Linked DNA regions of Schizosaccharomyces pombe. Changing the gene in region 1 together with any one later gene gives a genetic interaction. Each region holds a gene or a part of one and is shown in the gene's direction. Other genes may lie near its edges.

Region 1 (8,483 bases):
CAACCAATATAGATATTATGTGCCTGCCGTTAAACGTTTATATACAACTGCTGTGACCAAAAACGATTATTATGTATTATATAACAACCAGTATTTTTAACAAGCAATATTTACAGACATTAGCAACCTGAGTAATAATAGAGAGCACTCAAATCAGCAATACAAGCAAACACTTGTTGCTAATTAATCATTTCCTATAACTTTAATGTTCGGAACAAGGAAATACACAATTAATGAAATTATCAAGCAAACTCAATTAGCAACTTTGGCGGTAGGGGGAGTGGTAATGGAAGAAGACATCGAGCTTTTGCGACGTTTCTTTTTTTCCCTTTTCGCTGATGGCGGATTGGGGCTAGAAACGATTTTGTCAGGAGAGGGTTGAGGTTGAGAAACTGGTTCAACATTGCTTGTAGGTACTGTTGAACGGGTGTGCTTTCGCTTCGGTTTCTTAGCATGCTGTTCTTTAATGTCAGGAGTGGCTCTAGAAGCTTGAGCCAATGGTCTGGTTTCTGAAAAGTCTATCAAATCTTTTTTAGTGGGAGAGGATAAGTCTTCTGAAGGTTTAGTAGAAGTTTCCTCAGCCGTAACTCGACTATCAGCAACTGACGCATTTTCTTTAGAAGCATTATAAGCAGCCATTTCTTCTTCGTAGGCTTCTCGAAGTTTAGAAGCTTCTTCTTCGTAAGTTTTCCGATCATCTTCAGATAGCGAGCCCCACTTTTCATGCATCGCTTTATTCACCTCTTTAACATCGTTACTCTTCTCGCCCAAAGACTCCTTGATTTCCGATCGTTGGTTCTTCTGAAAGAGATTATAGGCTGATGGAGGGCGCTTTGGTTGTGCAGGATCCCTAGCCTTGCGCTTGTTTGGGGTCATGGAGGCTACAGCTTCCGACGTATCGACTGCGGAGGTTGCCTCAACAGGAGCTACTGCTGCAGGAGTAGCTTTCTTAGGTGAAGTTGCTTTTTTAGAAGGAGACTCAATTGCCATATTAATCTCTTTCTTCGCATTTGATGGATCAGTGACGGCTGGCTTAAAAGGTTTCGAAACCTCGGACTTCTCTCCTAATATCGAAGGAAGTGATTCTTCGATCTCACGGCATGCGGTTAAAGCTAACTGAAAAGCTTCCGCCAACCTTGTGAAAGAACCAGAAATCTAAGACGGCAATTTGTTAGATAAAAACCAAAAACCAAGCGGATAACTAAAGAAAATTTTGCATTTAATCATCAAACTTTTCAACCAATTAAAAAAGATTATTTTTAGTAAATACTTGATTTAAATCAATTTTTTGAATCATAAAACATTATGTTGGTTCAAAACACCAAAACTCTTTAAAATATCACATACCTTTTCCAGTTGGGTTGAGTTTTGAGCCATCGTACTACTTAAAAAATATTCAAAGTTTCTAATACAACTAAAGCTTCAATACGATGGCAAATACAGGAAATGGTGGCTGACCTACCGGGGTGATGGCGGGAATTTAAATCTTAGCGGTTATGACGGTGGGTGGTTGGTTAATGCTGGAAATGCGAAGCAGATGAAATTGCTTCAGTTAAACCCACCAGTTCGGTTGAGCTTTCTTCACATTTTATTATTATTACAGTTTATAGTTATTTAATATATGTGACAATTGTTATTGTTGAAATTACGATGGTTCAGTGAGATATTTCTTCATGTGATTCTGTTGAGTGATATAATGAAAATTACAAAAGACAATTGTAGTAAATTAAATATATAATAGGAAAATATGAGAAAATCTACAACCGAGAAAAATTTTTTTTTTTTTTTTTTTTTTTTTTCTTTTTCTAATCTCAATCCACTAAATTTGCTGAGACTTACAGTCAAATAATGTCCCATAAATGGAAAGAATAGCAATAAAAACATCCAAAATTTAAAAAAAAAAAATGATAAAACATTTTCTTGTAAATATTTACCTCTTAATTAAGTATAAACAAATCCTATTCCATTGACTCGTAGATCTATTTCATGATATCTTGTGAAGCTGCAACTCTGTTTATCTAGTTCTTGCGCTAGACCAATTGGTTTAGAAACTATTAAATTTAAGATAAATTTAATTTTAAACAAACCAAAGATCACTTATAGTGTTCAAAATACTTCGCAAAGCATATTGCTTTTGCGATGGATTCACTATGAATAAAATATATTGCTGTTTAATTTGGTTTGAGATATCATATTCGTAGCAATTCAACGCTGTTCTTGATTAATATTTCTGAGCACCGTTATAACAATGTAACAAGTGGTATACTAGACTTCGCTAAAAGTACGCCATCATCGAAATCCGGTATAAAAAATCACCACCTCAGTAATGAATTTTTTCGGGGGAGAGAGACATATGTAAATGTTGTATTGTTCACGATTTAAATTTTTTTGGGATGTCCTCCGAACAACAAAATGAAGCTGATTCGAAACCCGCGGTGATTCCTCAATGTTTTAAAATTGAAAATCAATACGAGACCTTTTCCCGTCTGAGTGAAACGTCAACTCCTGGTGTTGTACCGTCTGTGTCGACATTATGGCGGCTTCTGTTTGAGCTGCAAAAAATGATTGAGTGTGAACCGTCTTGTGTAGAATATTTTCGCCAGCGCAAAGAAGAGTTAGAGTCTCATGTCGATTCTGAAATAGAAACCTCAAAAGACGAATCGTCGGTTAATAAAGTGGAAGAAAAAGTAGAAGAATTTAAAGAAGACAACGTTGAACAAGAAATAAAGCAAAAGCGTTCTCTTTCCGAAAGTCCACAAGAGTCTATGCTAGAAAAAGTTTCCAAGAAGCCCAAAGTTTCAGAGGCCCATAATGAAGAAATCAGTCCCGAAAATGTGGAAACAATTGAGAATGAATTAGATTTACCGGTTAAGGGTAAAGATGAACAGACAACTGGGTTGGTATATAAAAACGCAAACGATCTTCTAACCGGTTCATTACTATCTTTCATTGTTGACGATTCCTTCTCTTATGAACAAAAAAAGAAGCTTTTATGTGTAGATTCCTTTCCAACCAGTGATGTACGATCGTTGGTGGCAGGAACTCCGGCGACTGATGATTTTTCTCACAACAAGCCAAATAACCAGATTTCAATATCAACCTTTTATTCGTCACTTGACCCATATTTTCGTGCTTTCAATGATGATGATATTGCTTTTTTAAAAAAAGGATTTGACGTTTCGTCTTCCTATAATATTCCTCCTTTGGGGGAACGCTATTACGATTTAACTCCGGAAGATGAAATGACCAACCTGTGTGCTAACTCAATTTACCAAAACCTGCAAACCTCTGCTCAAGGATCCCTTGAAGCTTTTAATGAGGCAGATACCGTCTCTGAGGAAGTTAGGTGTGGTCCACTCACTGAACGACTAATGGCTTCATTAATTCCTTGCTACACGCAGAATGATGAGGAGCAAAAACCTTCTATTGCTGTTGGCGAATTTGCGGAAACCGATTCTGGATCCGAGAAAAGCAAAATTGGTACAAGCATTGATGGAATCGAGTCAGGAAATAATGAATATACAGAACAACCGGATATACAAGAGTCGAGTCTTTCAATTTGTGAGGACCGCCTTCGTTACACCCTAAAACAACTAGGTATACTTTATGATGGCGATGTAGATTGGTCAAAGCGACAGGATGATGAAATTTCAGCTACCTTAAGGAGTTTGAATGCTCGTTTGAAGGTAGTTTCTGATGAAAACGAAAAAATGAGGAATGCGCTGTTACAGATGCTTCCTGAGGAAATGGCATTTCAAGAATTCCAAAATGTGATGGATGATCTAGATAAACAAATCGAACAAGCGTATGTCAAACGTAACAGAAGTTTGAAGGTTAAAAAGAAACGTATTGTTACTGATAAAATTGGCTCTTCAGCTACGAGCGGCTCTTTTCCTGTCATCAAATCATTGATGGACAAGCGCTCAATGTGGTTAGAAAAGCTTCAACCTTTATTTCAGGATAAGCTTACGCAACACCTTGGTTCGCCAACTTCTATTTTTAATGATTTATCGGACCACACTACATCTAATTACAGTACATCTGTATGAAGCGTTTAAAATTTGAAAGTGTATATACTGTAATTCTATCATTGTGATCTAATTTAATTGCTTGCTTTAGTGAATAAAATTTGCATGAAATAATAATAATACTTTTAACCGTAGAATAGATTGATGTGCTCACTAAAATATGATAGGAAGATTACTTAAATGCACTTATAAACATGATTCATGAAGAAAACAAAAAGGCCAAAAAGAAGAATGATTGATAGATAAAATACGTCCATCACTTTTTGAAGCAAAACACCTAAAGTAAAATTTTAAATCCATTCAAACTCACCATTCGCCTTGAAAAATAAGTAATCTTTTCCATTAACGCCAACTACGCCATCTCTGAACACACATTTCCATTTATTTTTGTGGTGGTTCACTTTGTCATAAAGACAAAGAACGATAGCCTGTCCAATATCAGAACCTTCTTCAGTTTCGGGAGCCTCATCTGAATCAGGATCGTCTAAATCTGAGTTAATTGCTTCGTCAGAAGGCGTATCAACAGGTGGCTTTTTTTCATCTTCGTTATCTTCTATAGTGCCGTCAATTTGCAAAATGCGATTCTTTTTCAAAACTTCATAAATTTCAGCATCAGCTTTCTGTGCAATAGCAAATCTATTACTTTCAAAATTAGAAGGGCTCCCAGCATCATCTAGATCATGAATAGCACCATCGGTTTGAGGCACGTCATTACGAGAATTAGCAGGGGTGGTATTAGAAGACTCTGTCTCTCCTAATTCAGACTTTTTCGGAGAGTTTTGATTGGGAAGTAACAATCCGCCAAATGAGTTAGTAGATGAAGAGTCGGGAGCATGTTCTTGGCCCGTAGAAGTTACATTTGCAGTCGAATGGTCGTTGATAATCGGTGAGTCAGCAGTTTGATTAGTGGGCAGTTGCAATGAGTTAGAGCTGTAAGAAGGGAAGGGGGCAGTATTATTAGGGTTGGACTGTACGTTAGGTATTGCAGAGCTGTCAAACGAAATATTTGTTGCTGACTGGGGGAGAGAGGGAGTAGGTGGAGAATAATAATTTGAATTACCATGTTGCTGCGCAAATGTATCCATCTGCTGAACAGCACGAATAGCGGCTATATTATTAAGTATGGGAGAGTTTGCAACAGCTGGAGCAGTAACATCTAATGAATCTGTCCTCAAGCCGCTAACTGGATCAAACAATTGACCAATGGGAAATGTGCCAACAGGAGCTTGTGCCCAAGGAAAAGTTGCAACATCGGTAGCAACTAACTTGCTTTGCCATAACTGTTTTATTAGAAAAAGACCTAAACTTCATAAAACCGTACATTTTGTAATTCTCGTAAAGTTGCATCATCAACACCATTTTCTTCAAAATCGCTCCGTGAATTAGCAATCACGTCTAATATCACGTGGTGATAGACCTCACCCTTGATAAAAACATTAGAATAACACTTAAAACAATACTAACTTACGACGATCGAATTGGACATTGTGGTGCAGTTGGATGCGTAGTTCGTAAAAGGATACTTAGAAATAGCGGTAGGTGGACCGCCGCCTCAAATAAGGAGATACAAGGAAGCGATACATTCTCTAACGCGAAGAAATATACTACAACAATTATAGGCGAGTAAATAAAAAATCAAGTACATGTCTTACTTCTAGTAACAATGCGCCGCTATCAATCACTCTGCGTTGCTGTTAAATGTCTAGTAAAGTGGAAAATTCAATTTTTTACTGTAGACTTTTCAAGTTTGTGAATACCGAAATTGGCAATATTAAGTGATATCTTTTAACTGCACAAGTTTTCATAAAACTAACGTGATAATTTAGCTTATTTTCTATAACTAATTTCATTTTGTAAATTTAAAGTAAAATGATTTGTTTTAAGTAAAGGTGCTTGGTAAAGCAACAATACTAACATAATATTTAGCTCAAATAAAATCGGCTTGAGAATGAAAGATTTAAATAACCTGTATATTCGGTATTTGATACGAGTTTTACGACAATAAGACGATATCACGAAATATCATTACTATTTGCGATTATTACTCTTCGCCTGGTAATATTATAAATTATATTACAATATGGTGTGTATTATCATTATCGAGAAAGCGATCCTGAATGATTTATTTGAGGTTATGATAAAGATACGAGTACCGAAAAGGTATTTTCTTTTAACTTTGCTAGAAAAAAATGATAATTTTGGAAATTTAGGTTAAAAGACAACAGACAACAATTGGAAGGATGAATATTTCTGACACCATGTAAATGTATTTACAGTCTTCTATTTACAAGCTTATTGTTATTCAAACAACTTTGCACTTATTCAGCTTCCAGCGCTATTTCTTTAAGCCCTCCATTCAGGTAACAGAGTCACCGATGATATATAAACTCACCACTTTGGAAATTGAACGGTTCTTTTTAGGAGGGAGGACGGACAAGAGGCACACTTTCAGTAATATTCTTGATGCAGTTGCTTAACTTCCTTATATGTCTGTTCTTTATTTTTAAAAGATGCGTGTTTACGGTAATTGGTGGTGAATTTTCTTATGACAACATTGATAAGAAGCCAATTCTCGTGGCTTCGTATCCTGAAGGGTCGAGGTTTAATGTATCAGCGTCTATTAAAACGCTTCCTGATTTAGTTACTTTAACATTTCCGAAACTCGTTAAAGATCCCGGATACGTATATGAAGAAGCTGAAAAAGGAGATCCGGAATCACAATTTTTAATTGCCATGCTGTACGCCATGGGGCCTGACGAACGCTTAGGTTTATCGTTTCCTCGAAACGAACCGTTGTCTCGAATATTCCTTGAACTATCGGCCACCCAAAATTATACGTATGCTTTACTTGCCCTTGCATATAAGCACCTTAATGGACTTTCTACACCGATGTCTGTGGATAAGGGGGTTGAGCTTTATAAACAAGTAGCTCATCAAATATCATGCTTAGTTCAACCCTTGTCTCATTTTGCTCCTGATATAGCAGCAGAATATCCGGTTGACCTATATGATTTATCACGTACTTCAAGCTATAGTGTTCAGAAAAAAGATGACATCGTTGAATACTTAAAGGACTACGCTTTACGTGGAAATAATATATCGGCCCATATAAGCCTTGCTACGATTTACCAGTACGGAACTCCTGGTAAGTTGAAGGATATAAAATTAGCAGTCAAACATTATCTTGCAGCTATTCGTTTAGTAAATTCTGGAATTCCAGATTCTCCTTCTGAAGCTATAAAGAGTATTCACAACAATCCAAGACATGCGCCAACCACGAAAGAAACTGCTAACAGTTTATCAATTGCAGCTTTCAGGTTAGGCTGTATGGCTCTACATGGTGAACTTGGCAAACCAGATCCATCTCTTGCGTATGCGTGGTTTGAATATGGTGTATCCTTAAATCATTCTTCCTCTAAGGCTGCGATTGCCTACATGTACTTTATGGGATATCCTGTGGCTGAAAACACTGAGTCAATCACAAAACTTTTAGAGAATGCATTGGCTAGCAATGATCCTCTTGCTTTTGCTGTAGCTGGAAAAGTGTCGTTAGCGAATGGTCAAATAGATGAGGCTACAGTACATCTGATAAGAGCTGTATCTAATGGGCATCTTGAATCTGTATTGCATATTGCTGATATATATTATGGTTCCAATAATCAATTGTCAATAGCCTACTATGAAAACTTTATTTCTCGAGTGTTGGAATTGTTCGACGTTAAGACCATCTCTTTTGATCCACTAACTAGACACTTTGCTCATCGCCTTTCCGCCGAGCTCGGTAATTTAATGTCGCAAATTTTGGCAGCAAAAGATCGAGATCCATCTACTTCTTACTTAAAAACCGTCATTTTTCCGACAAATGAACAAACTCATCGTAACGCACGGATTGCGATGAACTATTACTCTCGTGCGGCAGCGAGAAATCACATCCACTCGCTTATAAAAATTGGAGATTTTTACAGAATGGGTTTGGGTACCTCAGCAAAACCTGAATTGGCTTTTTCTTATTACTCTCAGGCGGCTGCCATTCATCCTTCTGCATTGGCTTATTGGCGTCTAGGATGGATGCATGAATATGGAGTAGGTGTCCCAGTGGATTTTGAAATGGCAAAGAAAAACTATGATAATGCTTTAATGCACGATACACGAGCATTTTTGGCTGTGACCTTGGCACGTTTAAGAATGAGGCTTTCTTCTCCCGACAGTTGGTTTTCTAATATTTATCGCATACTTGGAAAAGTCACTTACAAATTTTTGAAGCTTGTGCAATATTTTATTATAAATATTTTTGACATACTAAGCCCGGCAGGTCCGGACTCACAACTTCCCCCAGAACCACCAACACTACAAGTAGATCGTACACCACAACAACCTGACCCTCAAGAAACGTCTGAGTCCTTGCCCTCGCCTAATACTGAAGAGATGGGTGAATCCTATAATGATATTCGTTTC
Region 2 (6,166 bases), 1.2 Mb from region 1:
CGTACTCAAATGGAGCTGGCGTACGGGAAGCATCCATATATCGTATAAAATGGAGCACTTAAACTCAGTGTGAAACATATAGTCATTATATAAGGACTTGGTAGAAGAACCGGAAATGAATGCGCAAGTAGCGGCACCAAAAGAATGACCAGCAACAATCAATTCTCCTTGAGCGGTATTCAAATTACCCTTCATGGATTGGAAAACAGAATTATAAAAAGAAGAGTCCACAGAGCAAAGAAAGGGTAAGTTTTCGTCCGGAGTTCCAAGGTCATTGATATTTCGAATCATCTGGAGGGCTATTTGGATTTCCTGCTGTCGAAATAAAAGTCGTTCATTCTGAAGCACAACCGTAGCGTCTGCATAAAAGTCGCTTATCTCGCGATACTGAACAACGTACGGGGGTTCTTCAGGATGTAATGGATCACGCACTGTAGATATGATGGCCGAGTTATCTCTATGCTCCATGGCCAAGACGACGATACCATAGGAAGCGATTGTACCACATAACGAAGAATACACATTTCTCGAGCCAACCAATCCATGGCTGAAGATAAATACTGGCAGTTTCCCATTGTTCGGTGGATGAAACAACTCTCCTTTGTAGACGGGCAAAGCTAAGTTGGTCAAACCAGAAGCGAACGCACGAAGAAGCCACCAACGAAAACCTTTCGCAACTTCGGGTATACCCTCATGGAATGGTAACCAAAGCTCATCGGTGCGAGGCTCTACATCTTTTGTTGGGTCCAATGGATAAAAAATGCGTACTTTTACGGTTCTTAGTTTGTGTTCAATGGTTTTATATTCACATCGAAATTCCTCTGGAACACTCAGCTCTAAGACTAAAGACCCCACAGGCAAGGGACCACAGTAGGCAGGTAATTGCTTTTTCGAAGAAAATCCCAATCCCATTTCTACCTAACAAATAAGAATGTAATGTAGAAATATATAAATTTATTTTATTTTAAAGAATGAAAGATTGTGTCAAAAACGATTCAATCAAATTACAAGAGCACAGTGATGATGTATTGTTAATTGCTATGATCACTGTAGTAGGAATAGAATGGAATAATGCCAGAAACAAAAACAAAATATCTCTTTCGTTAACAAGCACTTATAAACATAAATAAAAAAAATAAAATTAATAAATTTTTGGCCTTGCAAGGTAATATGAATCTGTCTGCTGCAAATTTTAATTTTTGGTACGATTCGTACGATTGTGGTAGAAGAAGGAAGACGATGGAAATTGACGAGCATCTATATATAAAGTAAGGGGTTATGATGAAAGATGTCCTTTTAGCCGGTTCGTTTTTATAATGTACAAATCAAAGCAATTGACTCAATAATCAACTTTTGGCATAGGAAAAGGGTTACTTGCACAGCAATTCGAGCTTAAACCGCTTCCATTTGGAGGTCCATCTCCTCGGTCAAATTACTATCTTTTGAAGGAGCAACAGGCTCGTTTTTCTCATGAGCATTGGCTATTGACGGTGTGAAATCCTGTGATGAGTGAGATGACACAGTTGAAGCAGCGTGAAATGACATTGCGTATTCGTCAAGTTCTTTGTCTAAATCTTCGTGTGAAATTGAATTATTAGAAGACTTTTTTGAAGAAGAACGAAATGATCTGTCGTCTTTTTTTGAAGAACGGTTGAATCCTCGGTTCGAACGAGAAGACCGGCTTGGTTTGCGGGCTGAATGTGGCATGTCGGAAATCCGATCGAATAAGGAAGGTGGAGACTTTTTCGAAATTTGAATTTCGGAGCCCTTCAAGTTCGTAGATTGAAGCGTCTTCTGGGCATCTTCAGCATCTTGGGAAGTTTCAAAGTAAACATCGCAGGAGCCTTCAGAGCGACCTGCACGATCATAGTTCATAATCACGCGAATTGGATGGAAATTTTCAAACAAAGACTTAAGAAAAGGTTAGTTTATTAATAAAAAAAGCGATTCGAAATCGGAACAAAGCTCTACTTAGCTTGACAGGGAGATTTTTTGTCAGGTTCGTTTCATAATCTTCAATCGAAAACTAAAAGCGAGGCTTTTGAAAACATAGTAAACATATATCACTTACCAAAACATCTTTTTCCAAAACCTGATAATGTAAGTTTTCCACACGAACCCCAAATCGATTTTCTGAGCTAAGATTGCTGTGTTAGTATATAATGATAATAACAGTGCATGTAGACTAAGAGCTAATAGAGTAATAAAAAAGTTTACAGCTTATCTTATAAATTCAAAACATACTGTTGTCTTTTCTGTAGGTGAGTGGTCCTTGGATGAGCATCCTGCTCTTGATCCAAGTCATGCTGCCACGGGCCATCGTCTGGACTAGAGTTGTGTTCTTTTGATGCTCTTTTGAATTTGTAGGTCTTAAAAAGTAAAAAATTAGTAAATAAACACTTAATCCTCGAAATTAGCATACCAATCGCGATTTTTTGGAAATACGATTTTGAGATCCCCTTCGCCGACTGTGCTTGTGATCAAAACCATTCTAGGATTGTTAAAACAAATATCGAAAATAAAAAAATTTACCGTTCTTTCATTTATAATTTCGTCCAAGGACTTTTCCAGCGACATTTGAAAATTGGTACTTGGCACGAAAATGTCGACTGGTAAAAATTAACCCGGGGCATTCCAAAAAGGAGATTTCCATACCAATTGCAGATTTTCCTGACATAAATTAATATATGCACCTCTTTTTTTATTGTTTTTTAGCTCTCCTTATTTTTCATTCATCTTGCACTACGGTCCTAGAAAGTGTATCTTTCGCCAACAACCCATCGTCTTTCTGCAATTGCTGTTTTCCTTACATTTAAACAAATTCTTCTAATTACTTTCTTATTCTTAAAATATTCAATATTCTTTAGTTGATTTAAATTTTTGGGTCCATCTACCAATAGTTTGTTAGACTTTGCCTTCAAACATGAATTTTCGTCCAGAGCAGCAATATATACTTGAAAAGCCTGGTATTCTTCTCTCTTTTGAGCAATTGCGCATTAACTTCAAACACATTTTGCGGCACTTGGAGCATGAATCGCATGTGATCAATTCCACATTGACAACGTTGATCAGTCAAGAGAATGCATCAATGGATGAAAAAATAGAAAAAATAGATTCTCTCCTTTCAAGAGTCAGTACTGTAAAGAAGAAGGTAAGTTTGATTGATTCTTTTTTTGAGTTGGATATTTGTAACTTACATGGTTCTTTGTGTAGATGAAGCATTTGCATGATTGTGAAGCTCTGTTTATCAAGCAAACTAAGTCACGACTGTTGTTCATGAATCGTCTTCAAGGAATTCGTGACATGGAATCTGCGGATTTTTTAGATTGGTCAAGAGTCAGACTGAATCGTTTAGTTGCTGATTATATGATGGCGAATGGGTACCATGGGGCAGCTGCTCTACTTTGTAAAGACTCTCAGTTGGAGAATTTGGTTGATTTAGGCATATATAAGCGTTATCAGCTCATTCACGATTCCATTCTTCAACAGGAGCTCAAAGAGGTTTTGTCTTGGTGTTCGGAGCATCGAGCAATTTTAAAAAAAAATAATAGTACATTAGAGCTTGAGGTCCGACTACAGAGATTTATAGAATTAATAAAAAGTAAAAAACTTTGCCAAGCCATTGCATTCGCCAAAGCGCACTTCGGTACTTGGGCAAATGAACATCCTGCTCGACTACAGCTAGCGGCTGCCCTACTAGCTTTTCCTGAATTTACGAATGGTTCACCATATTCGGTAAGTTTACATTGAGAGACCTCTGCTCTTAGCTTATACTGACAAATTAGTTGCTTCTATCCGATGACCGATGGGAATATTTGGCTTCCTTGTTTACCAGCAATTTTACTGCCGTTCATAATATACCGTCTGTACCTCTTTTACATGCATTGTTAGCTGCTGGTCTATCTTCCCTGAAAACCCCGTTGTGTTATCTTGACGCGAATGATGATAATCCTTTAGCATTACAATCCCAGACTGTGAAACAATGCCCTGTATGTACGCCCTGCTTAAATGACCTTGGCAAAGCTCTTCCTTATGCCCATATTACTCAGTCTGCGATAGTGGATTCTCTGACAGGCGAAGGACTTGACAGCGACAATTGTCCTGTTGCTTTCCCGAACGGTCGAGTTTATGGTATCCAGAGCCTCATAAGTTGGAACGAAGCTAATGGGACTAGAGAAGGATTTCTTAGAGACCCTTATTCTGGCAAAGAGTTTCCATTCCAACTTCTTCGTAAAGTTTATGTGGTTTGATACTGTTTATTCTATAACGCATTTTCTGTGAGTTAAGGATTTACACTTTTTATGATGACGCTACGAGATTTATATGTTTATCTTTAATAATGATAGTAATTTATATTATTAAATTCACTTCCAGTATCCACCTTTACCATAGGTTATCCCTCAATCATGTAAACCCAAAACCTAATTAAATATACCTATATAAGATGCCCCAAAAGGAAAAGCATAAACCGAATATAGTAATCAATATCTTACTTTATTTTCCTTTTTTCACGAGCTACGTGTTCTCGTAAAACTTTTTGCTTTTGAACAAGACTTCGTCCAGCTTTACCTTTTAATTTATGCTTAATCATCATAAAGTTCTTGTTACGTTGTTTTCTTTTGTTAGAAAGACTTGTTGGGTTAAAACCTGCCTTTTTAGATGAAAATTTATCACGTCCTTCACGTCCTTCCATGACACTAGCAATACGGGCTTCTCGGTCGTTCTTAGCCTTTTTTCTAGGACCTTCAATTTCATCAGCCTCAACGGCATCGTCTGGCCTCTTTAAAGAACGCTTAGGTCCATTGACGAGACGATCAACACCCGCTTGCTCCCTAAGCTCTTCCAACTTTTTCAAGTCATTAGGTGTCAAAATAGATTGAGACGCAAGCTCGGTCATTCTATCAACTAGTTCCTTTTGTGAAGAAGATCCTTTCTCATCTGATTCTTTTCTTGCAGTGGCCTTCTCTTCCTCTTCATCGCTGTCACTTAATTCAATATTGTCATCACTATCGACATCGATCCAGCCACCACTATCATCAGAATTCTGTCCATCTTCTGAAACTTCCCAATTATCCCAATCGTCTCCATTTTCTCCTTCTTCTCCGTGTTCAGCTTTATACTGAGCTAAAAGTTCCAATCCTTGGATTCCGTGGGTGACGTTTAACTCCTCACCATACTTCAAAGGTGTACGATCTTTCATCTCAATAGAAGCAAGCTTACCACGATCCTTTCTTTTCAACATGTCGGGAGCAACTTCACGATACAGAGTGATGAGACTACGACTAGCCATCATAACACCTTTATCCTTACTAGATTTGTACTCAGTTAGATCCTGAAGAAGGTCGGGAGTCATTGCCAAAGGCGCACGAGCACAAACTTCACGAATAGCATTAATACCAGCACAAACAACCTCATTGGCGACACCTGAAGTAACGAATTCGTCGGCAATTTTTCTAACTAACGGTTCAAGCGCATCTGGAGGTACGAATTCATGGGAAGCTTGAGCGAGACATGCTAAAAACTGAGTAACGTCTCTCTGGTGGGGTGTCAAATATTTCATTAAAAAAGAATAAAGACCTAGGACTGTAAGTTTGTGAGAACCTACCAATCTGGTAAGGAGTCGAAGGACCACCAGTTTTTGATCCATTGACAGACGGCTTTTTGAGCTAGCCAAGTGCTTTTCAAAAAGTTCTTCGGCAAATCCTTGAGGGTCATGAAGAAGCTGTAAAGCCGGAAAGTTAACGTTTGTGGGGACGTTTTGTTTTCCTCGCTCTTTCTTCTTTACAACTGCGCGAGCACGAAGCAAAGCAGCCTCACGGGATTTTGTCTTTTTATTTACATTAGCTTGATGCAAAAGCTTGGAAACATCTGGACCCTCATCATCAGATTCCTCCTCCTCTTCTTGATTGTCAGCACCTAAGAAAAAGTAAATCCCTGCAAGCATAACTTTGGGGTTTGATGATAGTGCGGCAGATTTCATGATGTTTACGGCACGTGCATCACCGGACCAAACATTCCTTTTCCATAAATCACGAACCATTTTGACAGCCCAAACACCTGATAATTCACTTGCTGAATATTCTCGCTTTTGTCCAGAATAATCAGTATGTGTTGCTGAACCACTACCCGAACCGTCAACCAAAGTAAACAGAGCAGACTGAACAGC

Evidence for each region. A genetic interaction does not mean that the proteins touch.
Region 2: mutations in ngg1 (region 1) and gid9 together harm fitness more than expected from each alone (negative genetic interaction), as found in Schizosaccharomyces pombe (2 studies listed by BioGRID).

Annotation. Positions count from the first base shown.
Region 1 is NC_003423.3:1,582,253-1,590,735, reverse strand, and holds ngg1 (SAGA complex subunit Ngg1/Ada3), read left to right. Parts: upstream 1-2,337; 5' UTR 2,338-2,393; coding exon 2,394-4,049; 3' UTR 4,050-4,144; downstream 4,145-8,483. Other genes in the region: upstream binding transcription factor, RNA polymerase I specific, Hmo1, read right to left, coding at 253-1,155, 1,348-1,377; transcription factor TFIIA complex large subunit Toa1, read right to left, coding at 4,319-5,308, 5,350-5,451, 5,497-5,514; hrd3 (HRD ubiquitin ligase complex subunit), read left to right, coding at 6,492-8,483. UniProt on the Schizosaccharomyces pombe protein: Component of the transcription coactivator SAGA complex. SAGA acts as a general cofactor required for essentially all RNA polymerase II transcription. At the promoters, SAGA is required for transcription pre-initiation complex (PIC) recruitment.
Region 2 is NC_003423.3:399,773-405,938, forward strand, and holds gid9 (ubiquitin ligase complex subunit), read left to right. Parts: upstream 1-2,761; 5' UTR 2,762-2,923; coding exon 2,924-3,151; exon of another isoform or gene 3,152-3,213; coding exon 3,214-3,735; exon of another isoform or gene 3,736-3,785; coding exon 3,786-4,250; 3' UTR 4,251-4,441; downstream 4,442-6,166. Other genes in the region: plg7 (1-alkyl-2-acetylglycerophosphocholine esterase), read right to left, coding at 1-912; tho4 (THO complex subunit), read right to left, coding at 1,393-1,911, 2,072-2,138, 2,245-2,369, 2,423-2,491, 2,533-2,577; SDA1 family protein, read right to left, coding at 4,490-6,166. UniProt on the Schizosaccharomyces pombe protein: Component of the GID E3 ligase complex recruiting N termini and catalyzing ubiquitination of proteins targeted for degradation.